Linked DNA regions of Oryzias latipes. The protein of the gene in region 2 purifies or fractionates together with the protein of the main gene of each other region. This does not show direct contact. Links are inferred from orthologs where the notes say so. Each region holds a gene or a part of one and is shown on either strand. Other genes may lie near its edges.

Region 1 (4,745 bases), on a different chromosome or scaffold from region 2:
AGGAATTATAATAATTCTTTAAAAATGTCTTTGGAGACTTTTTAAGTCAATTTTAGTGCATTCTTCTACCAGATCTTTTTCATAGTTTGATTTTTGCTCTGTAAAGAAATTCTAGAGGTAATTTCTTAAGTTGTTTTTTTTTTTTACTTCTAATTTTTCACAACAAAAAGCACTTTTTTTTAACCCCTGAAAATGTTGCATAATGTAGGTGGAATTTATATATAAAAAAAGTCAAAACAGACAAGCTTTTAGAAAGAAAAGAGAACTGTTGCTCTCGCTTAAGATTTTGCAATTTCGGCTATTTAGATACAAAATACAAATTGATTTTAAACAAAGAGAGAGAGAGCCTAACTCCTTTTAACAGAACTGGATACAAACAGTGTTTTATTCTTTTTAGAAAGTAAAGGGACAATGTAGTGTCACGCTAACATATTCAAGGTTTTTCCTCAGTTAAGGAGCATTAAAAATGTTTTCTGTCATTGCTATATAATATTGTATTTCTTTTATTTTATTCAGCATCACATCTCAACTGTTTTTCTTTTTGTTTGTTTGAAAGACAATTAATCCTGAACAATCCAAAAGAACTTTATTATGTCCTGACAGAAGAATATCTATGAATGATCATAGATATTTTATTATAGGGGTATTCGTGTAAGTATTCTAACTCTGAGCAGAAACTGTGTGGTACTTTGCTGTAAGTTTTCATTCTTGGTTTACGTTCGGAGTGCAGCTAGGAGATTGGAAAATAAAAGACTAAAATAATTTTCTTTTTTTAGTACCAAAACTAACCACAGAGTTGCAGATCAGGAAAAAATGTAATGTTTGTGGTTTAATACCATCATGTTTTTATTGACAGAAAGCAACAACAGTTGTGCTTCATCATTTTCTGGCCCAATTTGAACATTTTGTGAAATTTATCTCTTTTGTCCGCAGACCACTGTGTCCACTACTACGATCTCCGCAACACTAAGCAGCCAATCATGGTTTTCAAAGGCCACAGGAAGGCCGTGTCCTACGCTAAGTTTGTAAATGGGGAAGAAATCGTTTCTGCGTAAGTCTGTTTACCTTTGCTTCCATCTTTAATGTTTTAAGTAATCGTGTATTTGTTTTTAAATGTTAAATATTTTAGTATATTTTAAAAATGCAATGACAGACAACGTCTTACTGCTTAACGTTTTCTATTAAGGACTTTAATTTTATTAATTTTAAAACTTTTATGTTAATAATACAATTAATAGAGATCATCCTGTGCTAGTGGCAAAACAGATCAACAAATATTTAACATTTAGTCTGGTTCCTATATAATCCTATATAACACATGAACAGAGGTGAGAAAAACACATTTTAAAGCTTTAAACGAGAGCCGCTAAGTTTATTTCTTTCACAGAAGCTAAATTGATTAAAATACGCTTTCATATTTTTAGCAGCTTTCTTGCATATTTAGACTTCTCAAACAATGCTTTTAAAACTGTAAAGAAACTACTTAATAACCAAAACTAAAAAAATAGGATAAAGAAGGATTTGTGCACACACATATAAAGAGTACATGTTCTGTGTTCATAGTTCGACGGACAGCCAGCTGAAGCTTTGGAACGTCAACAAACCTCACTGCCTGCGCTCCTTTAAGGGTCACATCAACGAGAAGAACTTTGTTGGACTGGCGTCAAATGGAGACTATGTTGCCTGTGGTATACGTTCATTTGAAACGTTGACGCTGATGTTTAAAGACTAGCCATTAATATAAAGTGTTTTTATGTCCATTTTAGGAAGTGAGAACAACTCCCTGTACCTGTATTACAAAGGACTTTCCAAAACACTGTTAACATTCAAGTTCGACACGGTGAAGAGTGTTTTGGACAAAGACAAGAAAGAAGATGACACCAATGAGTTTGTGAGTGCCGTCTGCTGGAGAGCCCTGCCTGATGGAGTAAGTGTCACTTCACTGGTCAACTATACTTTTTTCAATTCTGCCATTGTAAGCAATACTTTAAGGCTTTTGTCAATATTTTAAACAAGGCTTTCATTTACATAAAATACCTCTGATTTATTCAAAATGATTTGCTTTTAGGAGTCAAATGTTCTCATTGCTGCGAACAGTCAAGGAACTATCAAGGTTGGTGTTTTAAAAAATATACAAAAAAGATGTTTTCTTTTTAATAGTACCGTTAAATGTTTACAGCTCTTAAAAACATCTGTTTGAGTTTTTTTTTATTATTCCAGTATCAGTGCATAATTCCTCCCATTTAATGAGAATTTACCAGGAAAAAAAATACAATTGCAATTATTTGGGGGGGGGGGGGGGGGGAGGGGGAGTGGTTTGTCAAAAAATTGCTTAATAAAGAAAAAAATGTCTTTAAAACATCTAAATGTCTGTATCTATTCCTCCCTGACAGGTTCTTGAACTTGTCTGAATTCCTGCCAGGCTTGGGCTATCATGACCTCTATCTTTAGGGGGGCAGGGGTCAGCCGTGAATGGGGAGATCGCCTGCTGATCAACGGAGGAGCAAAAAGAAACGGAATCCATCTGTTATTTCACTGAGCTTTGTGTGCGTGTGACATCAGACAAATGTCGGCCCGTGGCACCAGTACAGCAGGCGGAGATGTGCCGGCGTTTGAGCTTTACCGTTAAAGAACCAAGCTGGGGCACAAAACAGAGGAAAGCGGTTTTGTTCCTAATCCGTCACAGTTTGTCAGCCACAATACAACACCTCTCTCTGGTTTTATACCAAATCTTATTATTTTTTTACTTTTGACTTTTTAACTCTTTAACCATTTCTGTCAAAGGCAATTCAGATAAATGCAACCTCCTGCATTTTGTCTTTTAAAGGCCAAAGCACAAAACAAAACATGCAAACTTAAATTCCCCCTCTGTCAGCTGTCCAGTTTATTCCCTATTTGTGTTGTTCTTTTTGTTGTATATTTTGTTTGTTTTTCCAGATTGGGAGACAGCAGGGTTTTTTTTTTTTTTTTTAATAAAGGTGACTTGAATTTCATTTTGTCAAGTGTACAGCAGTTTTTCTGGCAAAAGCAACGTAGCATCTCAGCGTATCTTTTTCTCAGAACAAAATGATACTCCACGTGTTTGTTTCTATAACCACAGCTATTGTTGCTTGATTCAACCTGCAGTTAGTGGAACTGGACTTTTTGATGGATTAGGACTGTTGTAAACTGATAACCACAAAGCCTCAGATGAAGTTCTTTCAAAGTAGCACTGGGATGTTTCTTTTTATTTTGTTTTTAATGCACAACTGCAGGCATGAACTGAGTATCATTGCATTTTGGGCGCCGCTACCAGTTTTTGTGGAGTTCCACAAGGACATGTAAAAAAAGAATAATGGAAGGATTGAAGAAGCCACCAGGATCTGCCAATTTTATGATTGATGAATAAGAGAGGTGTTTTGTATTTGCCTAACAATAAATTATTTAAAACATTTTGGTATGTGTGCTTTTTGAAAGTCTTTGATATTCTCTTTAATTACAATGCAATAGGTTGCTTGGAAAATATGACAAACCAGCTTTTTTTTTTTAGTACAAATGAGGAAATCTAAGATAAAAAGTTGAGGTTAGCACATACGTAATTGTACTAAGGTGAGGTAAACTTTGTCCTCAGAGAGGAAATTTGTTCCTGGCCACAGAGCTACTTACCTGAATGAGAATATTAACAGTACACAGAACAAATAATTAAAACGGGAATATACAGAATTTCCAACAGACCTGACTCACCGTTAAGAACACGAATAATAAAATGTTTAATTGAAACCTTTACCACAATGCTGAAAATAATTTCAGTAAAATGCATTATCAATTCATAAAAGGAAAAAAAATCTACTGTTGTTAAAACTAGGGACTAAGTATTACCCAAAATGATAAATACATATAATTATGCTCCTAAAAGCAAGCAAGAAGAAGGCCGATTTTATTTCTAGATGTCAAGTACTATATTTAAAAAGATATTGAAAGCCTATTAGAATGCCAGAGCTGTATTACCAAATACTGTATATTTTTTGTTTTTACCCTTAGTATAGTAATGTTTTTCTATATTTAATTTTTAGTCTCATTTTGAAAAACCAACATACAGATGGATAAACTGTACTTTATGCAGAGCTATACTAAAATAATATTTTCAGCTCTCGACTCAAGAAAAAAATACAAAATTGCATTTCTCTTTTGACTTTTCAGTACAATTTACCAGAAAAATTACATTCTTTAAATTATAATAGCCTGAAAATTAATGTAAAAAGGAAAAACGGTGTTTTTCCGCTTAGGTTCATCTGTTGAAGTTGTCGCAATGCCTACAACACAAACAAAAGTTCAACACAAATAAATGGAAAGCCAAACGAATTTATGTGCTAGTAACACTATACGCAGCCGTTCAAAAATAAACAAAAATATGGAACTTAACTATCTTACAAAGTACACTGTGTTGTGTATTATTTTTAGAAACCGCGTACAAAGATAAAACGTGTTTTTTCGTAAATCTTCAATCGAAAAGATTTTTGTCAACTGAAAAATACGCCAAAGGAAACTGGTGAGCGGAACTTATGTTTTACTGTTGTTTTCCAAATACATGCGGAGTAGTTTAGCGGATGGACAACTAGCTAGCAAACGGAAACAAAGCCGGACTCTAAAGCAAGTTCTGATGTTACCGAGTCAAACATTTGAGAGTACTTAGAGATAACCTTTCAGTGTTAACATTTTTACAGTCTAGAGCTTTGTGACGAAGATGGGAGTACCCAAATTTTACC
Region 2 (5,461 bases):
CCTCAGTTTTTTCTGGGTTCAAGAGGAGGTAATTAATTGTCATCCAGGTCTTGATGTCACTGATGCAGGCGTTCAGTTTCTCTATATTGTCATTTTGGTCCGGTTTCATGGATAAATACAACTGCGTATCGTCGGCATAACAATGAAAATTAATGCTGTGTTTCCTGATTATGTTTCCTAGGGGTAGCATATAAAGCATAAACAGGATCGGTCCCAAGACTGAGCCCTGTGGGACTCCATAGTTGACTCGAGTGCACTGAGAGGAATGGCCATTTACATTAACGAACTGATACCTATCAGACAGATAGGATTTAAACCACTGGAGAGCAGATCCTGACACGGAGGGCCACATTTGGCCCCTGGGCCTTGAGGTTGACACATGTGCTCTAGACAGTGCTCTGAACCTTTTCTCTTCAATGATTTGTGATCTTCACTGGTGTCCATGGATTACATGAAATCTTTCCACCTTTATCCACCTTTGTCATGGTAGGGAGAACACGTCAGTGGGTGGGGGGGTCATCTAAGATAGCATAAGGGATAAGGAAGGAGAACAGCAGCGCCATAAGCTCGCTGTTTGAACGCCTCCAAGTGACCACCCACCACATCTGCTGCAGCGAGGACAACAGCAAAGCCAGACCTGCAGGCTCCTCTGGTGGTTCTGATCCACCTGCCCTCCCCACAAGCTCAGACCTGTCAGTCACATGCAAACATCCACACGCATGTTTGTCTGTCCTTGTGAACTCTGCAGTAGTCTAGTCATCTCTGCAGGTTTTGTGCAGGGATGATAGTTTCCATAGCAGCTGGTAAGTTTCATCGTGTGACCTCTGCACCCGGCGGTCTCTAAAAACATGATCATGACAGAGCGAATGCACCCCCACCCACCCCATCATGAGAAGCTAAGAAGCATTTTTGAGGATAATTTAGGGGGGGGGGGGGGGGGTGCTGCATTTCTGCTGAGATGAAGAGATCAAACCAGAAACCTTTCAGCCTTTTTAGATTACAAAAAAGAAACAGTCTGAGGGTTTTTGAAGAATAAACTTTTTGGAACTTAACTATATAAAATTTTTAGTTGTTTTATTCCTTTGATTATTAATAAAGTGACTTATAAATATACAACATGACTAATCTACTATTGAAATGATAGATATATAGGATTTTTACTTTCAGTTCATTTAGAAATGAAAAAGTCAAAATCTGATTTAATCAAAATTCTTCTCTCTTCTCTGTTAAAAGTTTCACCGAGATCAAAGAAAATGTGGTCACGTGGTCTTCAGCAGTCCGTCCACTGCCTTGTTTCCGGTCTCTGCAGAGACAGAACGCTCCTGAAAAGTTCATGTAAACTTTGGGTCATGTATGTAAAAACATCTGGACAGTCCAGATGAAGACACGAGGCTCCTCCTCTTCATCCACTCCACGGTCCTTCAAAGGCCACGTGCGTCTGTCTCCGAGAGGTTAAATCTACCTTCATGGCCCAAAGAGCGCACAGAAAGCTACACTTTGTTCCGACGGAGTGACGCCATGACAGTCCGCCACGCAAATCACGCAGGCGTGATGTCCACGCCGGACTGGCCCTTTAACGCGCTCTGTGGCAGCGGAGCTCGAAAAACAGTGAATGAAATCCTGCCATTCATAAAAATAGGCTTTTGTCGAACCCTGATTGGTCGGATGTCGCCGTCGAAATAAGACATGAGTTTACGAGCCGCTATTGGCTGCTGTGTTGAGTGACAGTTGAAATCGACCAATCAGCGAGCGTCACGGCGAGCGCTCGAGCCCAGGGCAAAACCGAGGCGAGCTTCAGCGAAGCGCTCAGTCAACTTTTGGTTTCAGTCGGGGAGCGTCGGTTCTCCAAAGTTCGGCGTACTGGTTCCGTTTTTAGCGGTTTTCTGTTTAACCTGAAGACGTTCAGCGCGCGCTAAAGGTAGGATGAAGCGCGGGAATTGTTTGGAAAGCTTGTTTTTGGTGTCTGGGTTTTTTTTCCAACAGAATTTTCAGTGCGTCACTTCAGAACCAGTTTTACTTCAGAAAGCTGCAGGTTTTCGACGCGCGCGCGCTGAAATGACTGAATGACGTGCGTTGGTGCTGGTCCGGGTTAACTGCGCAGTCGCTGGTGCGCCTCATCTCCGTCTGTTTGTGATTTTATGAATGGACTCCCCCCCCCCCCCCCCCCCTGCTCTGTTTTTCCACACGGATCGAGTTTCACTTCATTGAGAAAAACAAGGGAGGGCACATGGGTGGGGGAGGGACAGGAGGCAGTGTCGGGTGGACTACCCCCCCCCCCCCCCCCCCGCCGCCGCCGCTGCTGCTTTATCCAGCCGTTTTCAGCCGTTTTTTTTTTTTCTGGCCGTGAAGTGTTGCCGCCTGAGTTCATGTGTCTGTGTTGCGTTCACGGACCGTTCTCCTACGCGCTGTGATGACGACTATAAACTTTAAGAGAAGTTGAAGCGTCGCAGTCGTTTCCAGCAGTGATGCTTCGATGGCATTGGATCAGAACCACCAGGCAGCTCGTCCTAGTGCGTTCCTGCATGGCAGAAGCTCCTCCCCCGGACTACAGGGAACAGTAATGTGATTACTGCCAGCAGCGATCTTTATGCATCATCCATTATCAGAGAACAGAGCAGTGAGTCATGAGACTCTGTGGGGAGAAGCACAGCGCTCACTTTGAAGTGAGACTTCGTCCAACAACCACCTGGAAGTCTCAGACCGGCTCCTGTGGATCCCGTGGAGCCGTGGCGTGTCAGGAGTCTGAGGACGTGGTTGAATCCACGTCTCCAAGTGGATTAGCCCCGAAAGAGTCCGTTTATGTAAGAGAGTTAGTGTTGGCGGCGGCTCCATGGACGGACACGCCGCCTTCCAGGCTGTTTGTGTGTGAAATAGGCCTCAGATGCTGGTTGTGGTGATGATGATGACGATGATGATGATGTGGGCGTGCTCATTGAATGGAGGTGGAGCTCAGTGTCTCTGTTGTGTGTTTAGTGCCCTGTGGACAGCGGCGGCTTTAAAGCACTCGCCATCCCCTCCCCTTCATTTTGGACCCCCCATCAGAGAACATGGACGCCTTCTATGACCAGCAGGTCCCCTTCGTGGTTCCTCCCAGCGTAAGTCACGCGCGGCGCTGCAGGTTGAGGCGTGGCGGCTCAGACTGATGTTCTCGTCTCTCCCAGCAGCAGGCGGCAGCCATGGAGTCGTCTCCAAACCGGCCTGTGAGCGACAGGAAGAGGAAGTTTGTGGAGGCGGAGCTAACTCTGGACACGGAAGGTAAAGGATGCGAGGCGGCGCCGCTCAGGTGTGTTTGGGTTCCTCTGAGCTAACGGGTCCTGGTTCCTGTCCCGCAGAACTCTTCCAGGACCTCAGCCAGCTGCAGGAGATCTGGATCGCTGAGGGTGAGTTCTGGACCGGCGGAACCAGCTCTGCTTCTGACCCGTATGCGGTCCAAACGAAGACACTGACGTTCTCCCCCCGCTCCACAGCCCACGTTCCGGATGACGAGCAGTTTGTTCCAGACTTCCAGTCGGACAGCTGTGAGTACCTGCTCTGTTCCGGGGGGGCGCGGGGGGGCGTCACATGAGCGAGGCCCCTAATCTGATTTTCCACTCTCCTGCACGCCGCTCTGCTCTGCTGCAGTGGAGCACAGAAATGCTCCGGGGGGGTGATGGCGTTTGGTTCTGTCAGTGGGCTGCTGCACTGGGTTTGTGTGGGGGCAAAGGTCGTCTGCGGGAACAGGGGGGTTCTTTGGAACGCCCCCCACAGACAAACATCCACCAACGTCTTGGTTTTCCTGGAATCCGGATCAGAACCGTACGGCTGGAGATTGTTCACCCTTTCTGTTGCAGTGCTAACGCTAGCTTGGAGTGGTTGTGTAAGCTAGCGGGAAAAAGTGTAAACAAAGGCATCATGGGAAATGAGGGCGGCTTACTCCACGCCAGCAGTCCCGCCCATAACTCAGAGATGAACTCCTGCTGCTCTGCAGAAACTAGGTCCTAGAAAACGACACGGGATTATAATTTAGGCTAAAAACGGCAGAATACTCATCAAAAGACGACTGGGAAGGATTTGAGAACAGATCAGAAGAGGATCAAAACCATCTATTTTAAAAACCACTCCATTAAAGTTTTCTTCACCTTGAGCGATCTGATTGATCAAAGTCTTTCCACACGTTGGACTGGAATGGACCAGAATGGAATGGAATGACACCACATGTGCGTTGTCCGCTGTGATTGGTCGGTCTGACCTTATAGTAACTTAAACCTGCTGAACCTCAGTCCAGATTTTCCCGGTTTTCATTTGATTCATTTATTTCAATTTCTGGCTGTTGACAGTCAGGTGATGGTTTCTGCTCCCCTGATTGTCTCCTGTGCAGTGATGTTTCACGGCCCTCCTCCAGCCAAGATTAAACGGGAGCTGACCCCCCCCAAAGAGCTGTCCCACTGTCTTCAGGACAGGACGCCCACCTCCTGCAAAGACAAGTGCCTCTACAGCCACAGGTAGGTTTGCCGCATGCGTGCACAGGCGTCACGGCGCCTGCTCCACATAACCACGCCTCCTTTTTGGCTACAGTGCCTGCGACCGGAAGTTTAAGCCATTGACCCCTCCCCTCACGCCTGCCTCCCCCTGTGAAGGCTCCAGTGGGGTGACATCCCCCCGCTCTCACCCCCGTATGCCCAGCTCAGCAGCATGTCCACTTCAGCAGCATCCAGAACCAGGGGCTCTGGTGACACACAGCCCCCCCTTCACGGTGCCCTGTCCCCCCATCAGCCAGGATGCTAGCAGCTTCACACCTGAGCACAGGTGAGCGCGCCTCCTCCCTCATTTTCCCCGTCTGTATGACCCTCGTGTGACAGGCACACCTCCACCTGCAGGTTCCAGAGACAGATGTCGGAGCCCTGTCTGCCCGTCCCCCCCTCCCAGAGCCAGGCCCCGCCCCGCTTCCTGCCACAGCCCCCCAGCAGTAGCGCGGTACCGCGTGACGGCCGGCCTTCCTTTCACAGGCAGATGTCCGAGCCGCTGGTGGCCGTGCCCCCCCGGGGTTTTAAGCAGGAGCTCATCGACCCCCGATACAACGAGCAGGGCAACCCCGTGCCCCCCCAGGGGGCAGCCTTTCACCCCATGGCCATCAAGCAGGAGCCCCGTGACTTCAGCTTCGACTCTGGTGAGTGTGACCCCCCCCCCCCCATGTGGGTGTGGATTCACATGTAGACTGCTTGCCCCCCCTTACATAGACTGAAAGCCTGCAGTGAGCTTTACTTTCCTCTTTGTGGGACGGGGTGACGTAACATCCAATCCTCTTAGGGTCTTACTGCCTCTAAGTCCCTGCGTCACTGTGGATGTTCCTGCCTGGGGGGCGGGGCATGTTGACCATCAGTTTTCCCTGAACTCTGCAGAATGTGGGGGTGGGGGGGCTCAGAGGTCCAGACGAGCCGCAGCAGGACCTCAAAGTTCTGCTCTGACTTTCTGCCTCTTCCCT

The links. The genes of interacting proteins can lie anywhere in the genome.
Region 1: the proteins of ETS translocation variant 5 (region 2) and cop1 purify together in Homo sapiens (affinity purification with mass spectrometry; 6 studies listed by BioGRID and IntAct, counting the BioPlex papers as one, with this or other methods). This does not show direct contact. The link is inferred for Oryzias latipes from reciprocal best matches to the Homo sapiens genes ETV5 and COP1.

What each region holds. Positions count from the first base shown.
Region 1 is NC_019875.2:19,747,301-19,752,045, reverse strand, and holds the end of cop1 (E3 ubiquitin-protein ligase RFWD2), read left to right. Parts: intron 1-933; coding exon 934-1,051; intron 1,052-1,563; coding exon 1,564-1,688; intron 1,689-1,766; coding exon 1,767-1,927; intron 1,928-2,068; coding exon 2,069-2,113; intron 2,114-2,393; coding exon 2,394-2,411; 3' UTR 2,412-3,433; downstream 3,434-4,745. Other genes in the region: xrn1 (5'-3' exoribonuclease 1), read left to right, coding at 4,724-4,745. UniProt on the Homo sapiens protein: E3 ubiquitin-protein ligase that mediates ubiquitination and subsequent proteasomal degradation of target proteins.
Region 2 is NC_019879.2:596,096-601,556, forward strand, and holds the start of ETS translocation variant 5, read left to right. Parts: upstream 1-1,753; 5' UTR 1,754-1,918; intron 1,919-2,336; exon of another isoform or gene 2,337-2,801; intron 2,802-2,973; 5' UTR 2,974-3,047; coding exon 3,048-3,095; intron 3,096-3,161; coding exon of another isoform or gene 3,162-3,164; coding exon 3,165-3,255; intron 3,256-3,332; coding exon 3,333-3,518; intron 3,519-4,357; coding exon 4,358-4,481; intron 4,482-4,554; coding exon 4,555-4,785; intron 4,786-4,856; coding exon 4,857-5,146; intron 5,147-5,461. UniProt on the Homo sapiens protein: Binds to DNA sequences containing the consensus nucleotide core sequence 5'-GGAA.-3'.